Alligator mississippiensis: one gene and its partner. Each later gene encodes a partner of the first gene's protein in a complex. Links are inferred from orthologs where the notes say so. Each region holds a gene or a part of one and is shown on either strand. Other genes may lie near its edges.

Region 1 (6,935 bases):
AAAATTCTGACTACCTCCACTCACCCACCCACTGCCAATGGGTTAGTGACCTTGCTGTGAAGATTGTACATGGCAGAAGCCGGAGGCTCAGCTCCCCATGGGGAAGGTATAGGAACATGATTTTCCCTATGTTTAACAGAGGAAGCATAAAGGCGATGGTGGAGGAGGGATGCACTAACCTTGTTGTCAGGTCTTTGAACTAGATGTAGACTCTTCTGCACCCCCCCCCCCACCCCCACCCAATCCCTTTCACCACCTCTAGGGTAGCAGGCTCTTTGACAAGAGCACCATCTTGCCACACCATCCCTTCCTTGCAAGCAGGCATATATTTTGAGTTTACTAGCTGTCTAGCTTTGTTCCACAAATTTGTCCAATCAAAACTATTTTTGCATGAATACTTGCTAACTTTACTGCATTTTATTTTCCAGCTATTAGAAACAACTACATGCTGACCTTTGGCAACAGTTCCCGAAAAGCTTACCAGAAACAAAAGCAACAAGCTCATGCATTTTGAAAGATGCTTTAATTGTCTGTACATCAGTGGACATGAAGTTGTCATGGAACAGCAAAAGATTCACACAATACAGACAAACAAAAACAAAAAAGTTTTGAATGGAAAGAGTTCATACAGCTTTAGACATAATATACAGGAATTGCTACTGCATAAATGTTATGCTGCCTCTTCCTCAGCTTCTTCCTCAAACTCCCCTTCTTCCTCCGCTGTAGCATCCTGATACTGCTGATACTCAGATACCAAGTCATTCATATTGCTCTCAGCCTCAGTGAACTCCATCTCATCCATGCCCTCCCCAGTATACCAATGCAAGAAAGCCTTTCTGCGAAACATAGCAGTAAATTGCTCAGAAATACGCTTAAATAATTCTTGGATAGCTGTACTGTTACCAATGAATGTAGCAGACATTTTCAGGCCACGGGGTGGGATGTCACAAACAGCTGTTTTAACATTATTGGGAATCCACTCAACAAAGTAGCTGCTGTTCTTGTTTTGTACATTAAGCATTTGCTCATCCACCTCTTTCATTGACATGCGGCCTCTGAAAACAGCAGCTACAGTGAGGTAGCGGCCATGACGTGGGTCACATGCCGCCATCATGTTCTTTGCATCAAACATCTGCTGTGTGAGTTCTGGCACAGTTAGAGCCCGATATTGTTGGCTCCCACGGCTGGTGAGTGGGGCAAAGCCAGGCATGAAGAAGTGCAAACGGGGGAAAGGAACCATATTAACTGCAAGTTTACGCAAGTCAGCATTAAGCTGGCCTGGAAAACGTAGGCAAGTGGTCACTCCACTCATGGTTGCTGACACCAAATGGTTCAGATCACCATATGTTGGAGTAGTTAGCTTCAGCGTTCTGAAACAGATGTCATATAGTGCTTCATTATCAATGCAATAGGTTTCATCTGTGTTTTCTACAAGCTGGTGTACAGAAAGTGTGGCATTATAAGGCTCTACTACAGTGTCCGATACTTTAGGTGAAGGCACAACACTAAAAGTGTTCATGATCCTGTCTGGATATTCTTCACGGATCTTGCTGATTAAGAGGGTGCCCATACCAGAGCCAGTGCCTCCACCAAGGGAGTGTGTAAGCTGAAAACCCTGGAGGCAGTCACAGCTTTCTGCCTCTTTTCTTACAACATCTAGCACAGAGTCAACCAGTTCAGCACCTTCAGTGTAGTGGCCTTTTGCCCAGTTGTTTCCTGCTCCACTCTGACCTGGAAGAAAACCATTTTTACATTACATTACAGGCACTGCTGATGTTATGGGTTTGGATGGGTTTTTTTTAAATGGAGTGCTTGAGAATGCATTTCCTGGTAGTGACAATATTTAAGAAATATTATTCTTTAATTACTTTTTAAAGAACAAGTTTCAATATTAATATTAAAAAAAAAAAAAAAAAAAATAGACATGACTGTGCCTGAAGCCAAGTCTGGCAAAAAGACAGCAGTTCATGAATTTAAAGTTCTTATTCCAGATTATTCTATAAAGAAATAGTGCGAGTATTCAACATGCAAAGTCTGTTAAAAACAGTGGTGCTCAACATATGGCACAGACAGCTCTCTCCAGGTCCAGAAGTTTAATGGTGAGAGAGAAGTAGACATATTAAAAGCGTGCTGGTTTGTGGAGTGACCCCTTACCATTCCTCTAAAGGGCCAGAAGGTTGAACACCAATTACCATGTTCGCACAATGCCCCCTTGGATCAACTCGAAGTCGCAGTGATTACACTGCAACAGAAACTGGATGCATCATAAGTGTGTTGACAAGGAATTCACTCCTTGCCCCTGTCCACGTCCCACCCAAAACACCTGTGACCACTTCAAACAGAGCCAAGCCTTAGGTGAAGCTTACCCTGCTCCAAAGAAGTCCTCTACAGCCAGGATAAAGTTCACTACAGACAAGGCAAGCTATCCCCCCGCCTGCCCGCCCAATCCCAAACAAACCCTGTGACACCCACCAAAGACAAAGTTGTCAGGTCGGAATATTTGCCCAAAAGGCCCAGAGCGCACAGAGTCCATGGTGCCCGGCTCCAGGTCCACGAGCACTGCGCGGGGAACATATTTGCCACCTAGAAAACAGGGAGGCAGAGTGAGGCCGGAAATCGGGGTGCGGGGGGGGGGGGGCAGGAGGGGCGGGGGCAGCACCTACCTGTGGCCTCGTTGTAGTAGACGTTGATGCGCTCCAGCTGCAGGTCGCTGTCCCCGCGGTAGGTGCCGGTGGGGTCGATACCGTGCTCGTCGCTGATCACCTCCCAGAACTGCAAGAGACACACCCAGGTCAGAGGTTGCAGCGAGCGGCGGCCCTCCCGCCTGTCAGCCACTGCCCCCGCGTACCGAGGGTTACTACCGGCCCGCCCGCCCGCCCCCTGCCACCGACCTTGGCCCCGATCTGGTTCCCGCATTGCCCGGCCTGGAGGTGCACGATCTCCCTCATTATGGCGGCTCTGCAGACAACTCCGAACCGCCCACAGCACCGCACCAGCCTCACTGCGTGCGTCAAGCAACCGCCGCCGTTTATATAGTAACGGTTTGCGCGCGCACCCACGTTCCCTCGGCCCCGGCCGACCGCTGGCAAAAACTATTGGACAACCATAATGAGGCTCGGAACAGAGAGAAGCGCGATTGGTTAAGAAACTGTCGGTCAAATTATCACGTTTCCTCAACCAACACCGCCCCCTCCTGCGGGTCGTGACGTTAAGTTTCTGAACGTCACAATTTCTCCCCTCCCTCTTCAGCACAGCTCCGATTGGTTTAATTGAATGATTGATGTAGAGGCTGATTGGCTGTTTCCCGTAGCAATGAAGTAATCTCACAACGATTGGGTTAACACCCCGTGTCCTAGGAACCGCCGCAGTGAGGTTTGCGTTAGGAGCAAGGCGGTGGCTCTGTCTGTATTCTTGAAAGGCTTTAGGCTGCGTCTGCAGCGTAACGGGCGGGACGTGTACTACGAGCTGCGGCAAGGCGCTACGCTGTGGCCGTAAATGTGGGGGTGGGGGCAGCTCCCCTTCAGTGTTGCCTGGGACGCGTTTCCTTGGAAAAAGAAAAACATTTTGAGGCCCGTCCTCTCCGGCATCCGCACACTTGAAATACCTCCTCTGACCGCGTGCGGCCCGCCCTTGATGTCCTGAACCAGTGGGCCGAGGAGCGCTGCTGCCTCCCCACCTGCCTCTCGGTCCCCTGCCACTGCCGATTCGCTCTTCTTTCTGCTCCCTGCCGGATCTGCTACTCCGCTCGCCCCTGGCCCATGCCACTTGTCCACCCCGCCCGGGGTCCCCTTCCCAACATCCGTCACAAGCACGCACTGACTGCGCGCAGGGGGTGCACATGCACCCCCTGAGATTGTCGGTGCACCCCTGGAGACTGCCCCTGCCAACGGTGCTGGTGGCGCCTGCAGGCGGTTGCCGCCCGCCACCCCTCCCCTTCCCCCCAATTGGCAGCGTCTGCGGGCCGTTGCCGATTGCCGCTGGCCACCGTCGCCACTGCCAGCGGCATCTGCGGGTGGTCGCCAACCGCCGGTCAACGCTCACCATCTCCCGCAGCCTGCCCCTGACACTGCTGCGGCCGCCTGCAGGTGGCCCCCGCTCACTGCCCCCACAACCCGCCGCCTTCTGCGGGTGGTCGCCGTACCCCCGAGCCTGGGGAGGCATGAGGCATGCATGAGGCATTCGTGGAGGCATGGCAGCCAGCAGCCCCTTCCCAAACACCATCCACTCCCCTGGTGCCCAGCACGCACTCTCTCAACATCCCCACAGCCCTGGCAGCCAACACCTACTTCATTTCAAGCCACTTCTGCCATGCACCCTTTTTTCCCACTGCCACCAATCGTCCCAAACTGCCACCTGGGACATCCTATTTCCCCAAAGCCTGTTGCTCAGCATCCAGCCCCACTTCTGCAAGTGCACGCATCCCTGATACTCAGCAGCTCCTTCCCAAGCACTTTGCCCTTTCACCCTGCTTCCAAATCCTCCCCTTTCCAGAGACCTGCTGTACTGCAAGTGAGGCTCCCTTCTCAGCCAACTTGTCCCACTTGACACCCTGCTACCACTCCAGACTAACCCCAGTACCCCAGACCAAGTTCCCTACAAGTCCCTTCATACATTTTCATTATCCAGATACCAATCATCCACCCATTCTGTGCATTCTGATATCAGGGACATCTCTTCCTTCCTCACTGGGCCTTTCTATACATCTTTCCAAAATCAGTTTCAGAAATGCACAGCAACCCTGGGACGAACCTCCTGAAACACAACCTACCAGGCCCACACTACGTTCAGACTTCTATCCTAAACTTCCTCTTTCTTTCCCCAAACTAGAATCTCCTTCCTAACCCTCCTCCACCTCCCAACACTGAGTTGCCATCCACTCCTACACCCAACCCTATGGTCATCCTGATACCCAGATTTACTACCAGCCCCCCAACCACCCCTATACGCATTTCTAAACATAGTACCCCTTTCCAAAGACATATTCCAACTGCCCACCACGACCCTAATTCCCTTTCTTATACAAAGGCCTCTTTCTGTCCTCACCTAGCTGTCATTCGCAAACCCATCTACACTCAACCCTCCAACAAACAGGTTCTCCTTCCCTAAAGCAAATGGCTTTCCAAATTTTCCAGGAGATTATCAAATTTTTAGCCTGTACCCAAAGATCTAAATTTTGTCCTGAATTTGGAAAAAAGATCCCAAAAGAGGTGACATTTCACAGTGAAAGGAAGTGTCCTGAAGCTTGAATAGGTGCAGCACTAGGCTGCAAGAATGCAACTATACTTCTACCTGTGTGGGAGGCAGTTGGCTTCATACTGGCATTCACACAGTACTGCATGGGTCTAATTAGCCAACCTGCAGCACCACACTAAGGCAAGCGCACTATCCAGAGCTATAAGTGGTGCTATTTCTGGTTCAAGAGGCCTGTGGAGTGTCTGGCACTGCCCCAGATTGTGTTCCTCAAAAGTTGGCTGCTGTACCCTTTCCCTACAAACATTTCCCCTATATCCAATACTATAATACCCCAACTATTGAGATTCAGTTACTTCTCTGCTTCCTAACACCCAGTCCTCCCTTCTCAACCCCTTCTTTCTCCAATATTTAGCCACAAACAATATAAAGAAACCAAAGCGGCACAGTGGTTTACTAAATATACACAGCTTTGCCAAGCCCAGTTATGAAAACACAGTACTGCTCTGAATGGCTTCTGGCAACTTCTGAGGCATAAAATAGAATGCCACTAGGGAGCTCACAAATATATTATTGTGAATTTAGTTTGTGTAGACATACCTAAAGCTATATTTAAACTAATAAGCTTGAGTGACATTAGCAATGTATCTGCAGTACCAGGGAGCTCAGAATGGGCTAGCCATCCACATATTTACCTCATGTTTTCACTGCTTTTGCAACTGGCACGGAGTTCTATGCTGCCATGGCTACAGAGAGCAGTACACAAGCTAGCTAATTTTCAAGCTAGCTCAGGTATGCCTACCCAAGCTACAGTCACAGCAATGACTGTAAGAAAAGACACACCTGAATACTATGCTCCCATCCCCTTTGACCCAGCCCCACTTTCCTATTCCTTCCACTCTCGGCTACACTTCCCAATTATCAGGTTTGCCCCATTTGTGCACCATCTTCAAACTTCCCTTAACCATTCCTAAACCTCCAAAAACAGACAGTAACCCTCTCCTAACTCAATCAATCCCAGTTGCCTGATGCAGCAAAATAATTCACCATTTACTAGCCCTCCCGTCATTCTACATCTGCTCCTCATCACAACCCTCTATGGGTGCATGTACATGTGCAGTTAGCAGGTAGCAATAAACTGAAGTGCAGTTCATGCATGAGTTTATTGCTCTTGGTTGCAGAGTTTATACATGCACCTCTGCCCCAGCTCAATATGCTGTGGAGGGGCTGGCTGGGACATGAGGGTGCTACAGTGCAGAGTTAGCTAGTAGGCATCCCCCAAACTGTAGCACCCTCATGCCCCAGGCAGCTCCAATCACTGTATACACATGCATTTTGGCACATGTGACTACTCTGCTGTAGGAAAGTACTTGTCCCAGACAGTACTATCCTACAGTGGAGTTAATTAATTTACTGCGCCTTAATACGGGCACACATGTAGATCATGACTCTTTACTTCAAAGCTAATTAGTCATTTCTACAGTAAAGCACTTGCGTAGATGTACCCTATATAACAGGGGTGGGCAATTATTTTGGGCAGAGGGCTGCTTACTGAGTTTTGGCAAGCAATCAAGGGCCACATGATAAGCAGCCCAGAGCAAATAAATATTAATTTTCTAAAATTTTTAGGGGCCCTGCAGGCTGGATAGAATGACCTGGTGGGCTGCATCTGGCCCCCAGGGCCACATTTTGCTCACCCCTGCTATATAATATCCTAATTTGAATCTGGGAATGCCTCCAATTCC
Region 2 (7,936 bases), on another chromosome or scaffold:
CTCTCTCTCCCTCCCCCTGGGCGTGTACGTATTTGAGGAGGTAGGGCAGAATTTGAAACCTTATTACTCTTAATTCATTCCTCTTTTCTGCACTGACTCATCCATCCTTCAATCTGAGACTGCTTTCACTTACTTCAAGTTTCTTCATCACGCTTCTCTTCACTGTTTGGTCTGGAGCGCAGAACGGGAAGCGAACAAAGTCTGTCCTGTAGGTGCTATTGCTGGGCTTTGTAAATTCTTGTGTCGGCTAGAAAAAGAGGTATGCACTGCATCTGGGTTATTCACACTCAGAACGGCTGAACCAAGAGACCAGGAGCCGTCATCAAAACAATTGCCTCTTGCGGGAGATTTTCACAGCGCAGAAACTGGGCATTGAAATTGGGCATTGAACTCATTTGTGCTTGTCCACCAAAGCAGAAATGAATCTGGTGTCTACAGAACCTCTGTCAATAAAAAGAACCACAAAGCCAATGGATGTGGCTTTAGAGTCACTTGGGGAAATACTTGCTGTTTGTTGAAGCCTTTCTTAACCCTCTGTCTCGGGTATTCAAATCAATTAGCGTAACCTCTCTTTGTGAAATCCTTTGCGTGTGAATGCACGATGGGCTTCAAATACAGGCCCTGCGGTGGCTTGTTGTCATAGCTTTTTTTGTGATCCAGGGATTAATTATTGGAGGGGGAAGCGGAGGGGGAAGAGCAGTTGATTTCACTCTTCTTGGTACTTTGCTCATCTCCCACCGGTTCAGGGTTGCTCCCTACCAATACACTTTCTACGATTTATCCAGCTTAATCTTAAGTCTCACAATTATTATAAATTCATGAGTCACTTCTTTTGAAAGGAATAGGTGTGTTTGGTAAAAAAAAAAATAAAATTCTGAAAATATTTTGCTCAGTTATCCTTACGACCAATATGGTATAGGAGGCTACCGGGCTCCTGGAAGTGCTGGTGTTTACCCGGCATAAACCCAGTATTCACAACAACCACGATCTTCACAGGTCCTCTGGTACCTTTGCTAAATAGGTGGGGTGTTGCAGGTATTAGTTTATGAAGCGGGAGAGGTAACCAGGCCTCTGTCCTGTAATGCATGTTCACTTCTCCCAGCACTGCCCTTCCTCCCTCCCTTCCTGCCCTCTGTATTCAGATCACTCTCTCCATTTTATACACTGCTCTACGCACATCCTGTCACAGCATCTGATGGAGTGAGCTTGTGCTCACAAAAGCTTATGCTAGATGTATTTCTGATTTAGTTAATCTATAAGGTGCAAATCTACCCTGCCTTCTGTGTATTAAATTGCCAATGCAGTATCACTCTGAGATGATTGGAGGTTAGTGGTGGGGGAAATATTATTTTTTTCCCATGGGAACCCGCTGAGGTAAGACCATATAGAAATAGGAAAGAGAAGGGCCTTGCCCCAAGAAGCATATATTCTAGGGTATTGTCCTCTATGCAATACATTGCACTTACTAGTTACAATTTTTTTGATTCTTGGAGATTAAAAACCCCCCCAACACAAATACAAACTGCATTAGACATGCAATTTGAGTGTGGAGAGGAAGAAAAGAGGTTGTCTAAAAAGACCTCAGTCTTGGGGTGTTGCCATTTTAAATAAAGCTCCAGTTATCAAACCATCTTACCCAGTAAAACTTAAATGTATTTATTTTCTTTTTGAAAACTAAGGGAATTGCACCCTTCCAGGAGAACTGTTTGTGACATACCATTATGAAACAAGCTGTTTTTGTTGCATTTTGTTTTGGGTTTTTTCCCAAAGCGGTGCTCACAAAGACAGATAGCATATGTTAAAAGAATGGAAAGTTGGCAAGGTGCATGAATCTCACAGCGAAACACAAAAGTATGCTACAGCATAATAGGAATGAAAAATAATGAAGTATTATTACAACACTTCTTTCACCTAAGGAACCCAGGATGCTTGAGAGATTTTTAGATGCAGGTGATAAAATGTCTGTTGGTATGGGGGTCACTTCAACAACCACTAAAAACCATTGAGAAGGAAGGACGATAGCTTATTAACAGTACAAGATACAGGGATAAACATCTATGCATTTGTGGTCATCTCAGGCAGACAGAAAGTAATTACCCAACTGGAATGGGGCTGAAACACTGGAAGTTAACATACCTAGTCCTGGGAAAAATACCATGGGAAAATACATGGCCAAAGGTCGTATGTTGTCTGTCAGCCACTGTGCCTTCATACTCGGGCATTGCTTCAGTCCTGGTTCAGTGGCAAGACTGCCAGCCCCTGCCCAGGATGCAGGCTGGTAAACCGATTTCTGCCATTCCTCCTTTGTTCGTTTTAAGATGGATCACAATCCCAACTTCCCCAATATTTGGTAGTTGATCATCTCCAGAGCATCCATTCCAACTTTCTCTATTCCTCTTTTCCCCCTTCCCCTCTATTGCTATTTCGCCGCTTTCCTTATTCCTCCTTTCCCCATCTTACCCTTTGCCTGTCTTCGAACCAGTTTCCAATGAGAACTTTACTGGAGTATTTTTGTTCCATTTTCCCCATGGGATGAAACAGGTCCTCTACGTCTCCTTGAGATGCAAACATGTTTCTTTGTCTCGCAAGCTCCACCTTCCCTCCTATAACGTAAGAGTGAATGGCTCCCCTACCCTTGTTCTTCTGCAACGTGAACGGTTGTCAGTATGTCAGGCAAAAGAGCTCAGGTAGAAAGGGGCTCAGACTTTCACCTGCCTGCATGTAAGGTGAGATAGTGACTGTGTGCAACTCATTAATTCAGATGCTTCAGAATCACCATTGTTTCCGTTTCCGTGGGGATTGGCAGTGTGTGTAAACACTCGCCAGGCAACGGCATAACCTATTGCTAATAAAGCAAGCTGTCACCCATGAAAGCTTATGGCTCTCTCAACCAGGCCATAAAGTGCCACCCTGTCTGATCTGAGACTAACAGTAGCTGATTACCTCTCTCTATTACTAAGATAGAGAGGGTCCTTTTCTACTGAAGTAAACTGAACGTTTTCCACTCACTGAACAACACTACATTTCTCCAAGTGTGCTCAAGAGTCCTGTAAATTGTAAAGGAAGAGCATCATTAAAGAGGTAATACTTGGACATGAGAATGGCACTAGCTTTAATAAATGGCTATAGAATTTAGGAGGGATACAGGCAATCAGTTATCTCAGAAATTAAGTATGCTTCTGTTGAAAATAGAATAAAATACCCAAAGTACAGTCAGGCCTTCATTTACACAGTGGTTACGTTCTTGAAACAACACGGTGCAAATAGAAATTGCGTAAAAAGACACCAAGAGTCTATGGGAAATAAGGGCTTAGGTTCCAGATGTGGCTGATAATTTGGCCGATAATTGCCCGTGCTGCATGCAGCCGCAGCACAGCACTCAGGCAGCAATTAAATGCAATTAAATTTTACAGTGTGGTCACTAAAAGTTCTAATTTTCTAATAGATTCTGTAAATTTGCTTTATATGGACTCTCAAAGGGAAAATCCAATAGAAGAAAGCGAAAGTAAATCTTTTAGCATGATTCACTGCAAGGGAAGATTTTAGTTTCCCAGTAGAAGTGGAATTCAACTAAACTTGAATTGAGCCCACAAGAGGCCGAGTGATAAAATATCACTAAATGGAAGAACAAACACCATGGGAACAAAGAAAATGACAACATTTAGAAGCCTTTTAGAATAGTTACAGTGTTGTCATAAGCCTCTTAGGAAATTTATGATTTTGTCCAGTGCCTTTTTTCCAGCTGGAAATGAAAGTATGCCATTATCAAACATGGAAATGACTCCATGGAATCCATCCTCAACATGGTACCAGGTCACTTGAACACCACTATCCTCCAGTCGCTTCTTATACAACAGCCCATCATCCCTAAGCACATCATACTCGCAGGTCAGGATGAAAGATTCAGGGAGCTGGCAGAAAATGGCATCTTCCGCTAAAAGTGGGGAAAAAGTTGGCTCACATATTTCCTTAACTTGCTCATAAACTTCCTTTTTGCATTCAATGAACAACTGTGGCTTATAGCCTCTGACCTTGAATTCTTCAGGGATGTTGTCAAGACTCAACCATTTCTTGTACTTCAGTTTTATGTCCGTGGGAATATGGGTGCCCTCCAAGACATCTTCCAAAACCGATACGTCCCCATTCAGGCACAGCAAAGCAAAGAAAGGAACACGTTCTCGGAACAAAAGTGGCACCTTACAGTTTTGTAGGTATGATGGCAAATTGAAGTCCAATCCCTGGACGAACGGATAGATCAAGACCTGAGCACGAGGTTTAGGAAGGCCTGGCCTACTCACGACTGCTTGGCTGACAAGAGCAGCAAGATGGCCTCCAGCACTGTCCCCAGCTATGATAATACGTGTGGGATCCACTCCATAGTCTTCTGTATTCCTCATAAAGTGTATGGCAGCTGTGAGACAGTCATCAAACTGTGCAGGATACTTGTGCTCAGGGGCTAAACGATACCTAGTATATCAAAGAAAGAGTTATTATAAAATTGAGAGACTTTATAATTGGCTCTTTATGTCTTACAATTGTCTTAATATTCAGCCCTCATGGGGGGGGGGTTGGTTTTCTGTTGGGTTTCTTTTTCTGTTCCTTTCCCACCTTAGCCCCAGACTCTCTCTGGGCTCTTGGCTAATTCGTTTAATCATTGTGTGCTTCAATGACATCTGTCCAATGGGAATGATAATACTTGTTCCTATATTATTTTTACTTCTTTGAATATTTGTGGGGTTTGTCTTGTCCACTTCAATTGCATGGCTTTTGGGCAAGTGCAGTATCTTACTATGCGATTATGCAGAGACTATAAAAGTACGGAGCCAACATAAATTGATGCCTGAAAGTTATTCCACAATATAGGATACAAGATGAAAGATTTCTTATTCAAGCCAAAATCTCAAGGGCAGTTCGTCTAGCCAAGAATTGATTAAGAGGAGGAGTAGTTAACTCGGTATCTAACAAGTTTATAATAATTATTAGGGGAAGACAAAGAGATTCATGTTGTAGTAAAATGATCTTTATTACATTTGCTTTCTCCCCCCCGCCACCTTTTATTTTTTTTTATTTTTAAGTTCCAGCAGATGTCCTTGCTGTGTTCTGATGCAAGAGCTTACTTTGGGCCTATTAGGACCATCTCAGCACAAGACGAAAGTAAAAAGCTTTAAAATTCACTCAGCCTCAGTCTTTCTGAGTTACTGGAATGTAGAAATAATGTCTGAGAAAGGGGGTCTCCAAAACCAGTGCATCCCTTCAAAGTGCCTATCACATAAATAGTGAACAACCTCCACATAATAGCACCGGGTGGGGTTCACTTACTCAACTGAAGCAACCACTGATTCACTTTCTCTGGCAATGTAACGGCACAGCTTTTCATGGGAATCTGAAAGAAAAATGTTTTTTTCTTGATGCTTTGCTAGTGTCTTAAGGATTTCCAATTCCATGACCTATTTTCCCCAAGATTACAGTTAAAGAAAGAAGAAATTCTCTCCTTCCCCCATTCACTCTTAAATGCTGCCTTCCTTCATGCCCTATTAGTTCTTCTAGGCTGTCCTGATGCTTGATACAGCCAGTAAAGTTTGCCAAGTGCTCTCCTACAAAAAACATCTGATACAGAATCAGTGCAGCTAACCAGAAAAGTTAAACATCAGAGCATCTCCCAAATCTCAGGTGAAAGCCAAGCTCTGTTTTTGATGTTGAGGTTGGTAAAAGCATAGAGAAATCTTTTTAGAAATATCCATCTCAATTTTTCTGTTAAACACATGCAAGGTTGCCAACCCAAGCCATTTTTATTGATAATCTACAATTTTTTTACTGACAGGCAATATTTTTACTGACATACATTTTACATAATGTAAATTTAACCATTCTGCAAGGCCTTGGCCAGGGGATGGTTTCAAACTTAGGTGGTTAACACCAACCATAGTAAATAATTTTGGTTGTCAGTAAACTTTGCAAATTGGGTAATTGCAAATTACCAATAACTTTTCCCCTTGGTTTGGCAACCCTGCTTGACTTCAGGAATGGTTTTACACTGTGCTGCCCCCCACCACAGAGGTCCCATTTTCACCCCCACACCTGATGCCCTGGATTGCATCCCGGACCATGTTGCCCTCCAAGGCTTACCCCCACTGGCCCCACCCCCTGTCCTAGCACAGACTCCCAAAGAAAGACTGCTGTCTGTTGACCTGTGACCATGCAGCAGAGGCATGGCAAGCTCATTGACTGCTTGGGGAAGGGAGGGGGCTGGAGCAGGGGCAGGAATGGGGAAGGGGGGTGACAGGTGTTGCCAGCACTGTGGACTGGAGGTTGGTGGGGGAAATGTGAGTGAAGGGAAGGGAAGGTTTACTTTTCCATGCTACTGCTGCCACTGCTATAGCAGCATCAGATCCACTTGGGTGGCAGCAGCCCCTTGGCTAGGCTCTCTAGCCAACCTGTGTCCCATTCGTTCCCTTCCTCACTCTTTCCTTTTCCCCTCTCCCCCCCCCCAACCCCAGTACATAAACATTAGTTGGCAATTCTGGTGCCCTCTCCTAGTTGGATCCCAGCGCTGGTGCCCCATTCCTCTACTGACCAGCCATGTTACAGGCCGGTACTGGAATGCAACAGCACATGTCTGGGGAGAGGGTGAGCTATATAGGCTACAAATCCCTGAGAAGATGCTTCCTACAGGGTGCTGCACTGCCACTCAGATATCTGGTGGCAGTGCTCTTCCCTGTCTAGCATTCAGCCTTGTTCAGAGACAGAGCTTCAATAAAGCTCCTGGTTGCTTAGGTTTTTTTTATGGATGGTTCCATTTTCTTCTTTTTCTATGGACTTTGTAGAGAGGGGTTTTTAGGTTTTTTTTTTTTTTTTTTGTTACAACTGACTGTACATAAATTTACTGACAGTTGGCAATCTTGAATACGTACCGAGGTCTCCAAATACCCAGCCACCACCATGAAAGAAAACAATTCCTCTTCTTTGGCCAGACGATGATGCTCTAGGCTGGTAAACCCTCACAGGCACCGTCTCAAAATTTAGGTCTTTAACGAAGAGTTTTGGGTCCATCCCTGGTTTCTTTCCATATCTTATACACCGGACAAAATTGAGTTGGCTGCAGAGACCCATCCTCTCCAAAATCTTCCCCTAGTTAAAGTGGGACAACCAACTGGTGAGTGCAGGAAGACTCCAGTCTTCTTAGCATATGGAAAACAGCTATACAGTATGCTCAGCTATGCTGTATTTTTTGAAACACAAAATAATTGGTGTTCTTGAAGCAAAAATAATGGACATGTATTAGGCACGAACATAATACCAATAAAATAATACTGACAACCATATACTAGGTGCCAAATGACCGTTCTGGAAGCTGTGGGGGCCTACCTGCAGCATAGGCAGTGTCTATAGAGGCACCTCCATGCACAGCTTTATCAAAGAGCTGTGGCACTTTCACCTCTGGTGAGTCAGACACCTTTGCAAGAGTGGAGCTAGATTCAGCCCTACCCTATTGCCTGGCTCTTAGAGAATTGAAGGCTTCTCCTGCTGTCCTGAGGCAGTATTGCCAAACGTGTTGGTTTCTCTCCTGTCTTCCAGTATGTATGGTTTTTCTTTAAGGTACGGCTTTTGATAGTTTATTGTTTTCAGAGATTCCTAGCAGTTACCTCCCTGGTTAGAGAAAGCTGGGAAAAAATGCCCCCCCCCCCCTTTTTTTTCCTTCTTATGTCTAGTGGTTTTTAAGCCAATACCATGATTCTTTTAGTGATCATTGGTTTCATTAAATATGGCCGTTCAATGAACAACTGACTTTAACTGTAGAGCTGTAGGCAACCCCTGCAGACCCTTTTGTCTCTAACTAACCAACTAGCTAGCTTCTCCATAACTGCGACACTATCTCCCGATTCACAAGTCCCTCAGCCTCCTGCTAGGTAGTATCTCTAAATGATAATGTCTCTCA

What was found. Proteins that work in one complex are often made in the same cells at the same time.
Region 2: the proteins of tubulin beta-4B chain (region 1) and CFAP107 are in contact, whole or in part, in a cryo-EM structure (PDB 9CPB), measured with the Bos taurus proteins. The link is inferred for Alligator mississippiensis from reciprocal best matches to the Homo sapiens genes TUBB4B and CFAP107. Residues at the interface, in NP_001029835.1 of Bos taurus: Lys19, Glu22, Asp26, Tyr36, Asp39, Ser40, Asp41, Leu42, Gln43, Leu44, Glu45, Glu53, Gly56, Gly57, Tyr59, Pro80, Leu215, Leu217, Thr219, Thr221, Tyr222, Gly223, Asp224, His227, Leu228, Ala231, Gly244, Gln245, Phe270, Pro272; in NP_001033296.1 of Bos taurus: Thr74, Val75, Glu76, Gly77, Leu78, Tyr80, Lys81, Leu83, Ile84, Thr85, His86, His87, Gln88, Glu89, Gln92, Arg93, Tyr94, Leu95, Ile96, Ser97, Thr98, Asp101, His102, Pro133, Pro138, Thr139, Asn140, Tyr141, Leu143, Tyr144.

What each region holds. Positions count from the first base shown.
Region 1 is NC_081835.1:40,550,606-40,557,540, reverse strand, and holds tubulin beta-4B chain, read right to left. Parts: upstream 3,014-6,935; 5' UTR 2,949-3,013; coding exon 2,892-2,948; intron 2,773-2,891; coding exon 2,664-2,772; intron 2,584-2,663; coding exon 2,473-2,583; intron 1,732-2,472; coding exon 671-1,731; 3' UTR 515-670; downstream 1-514. Other genes in the region: CIMIP2A (ciliary microtubule inner protein 2A), read left to right, coding at 429-514. UniProt on the Homo sapiens protein: Tubulin is the major constituent of microtubules, a cylinder consisting of laterally associated linear protofilaments composed of alpha- and beta-tubulin heterodimers.
Region 2 is NC_081836.1:6,839,277-6,847,212, forward strand, and holds the start of CFAP107 (cilia- and flagella-associated protein 107), read right to left. Parts: upstream 3,004-7,936; 5' UTR 2,572-3,003; coding exon 2,440-2,571; intron 248-2,439; coding exon 134-247; intron 1-133. Other genes in the region: arylacetamide deacetylase-like 4, read right to left, coding at 3,693-4,467, 5,320-5,383, 6,912-7,128. UniProt on the Homo sapiens protein: Microtubule inner protein (MIP) part of the dynein-decorated doublet microtubules (DMTs) in cilia axoneme, which is required for motile cilia beating.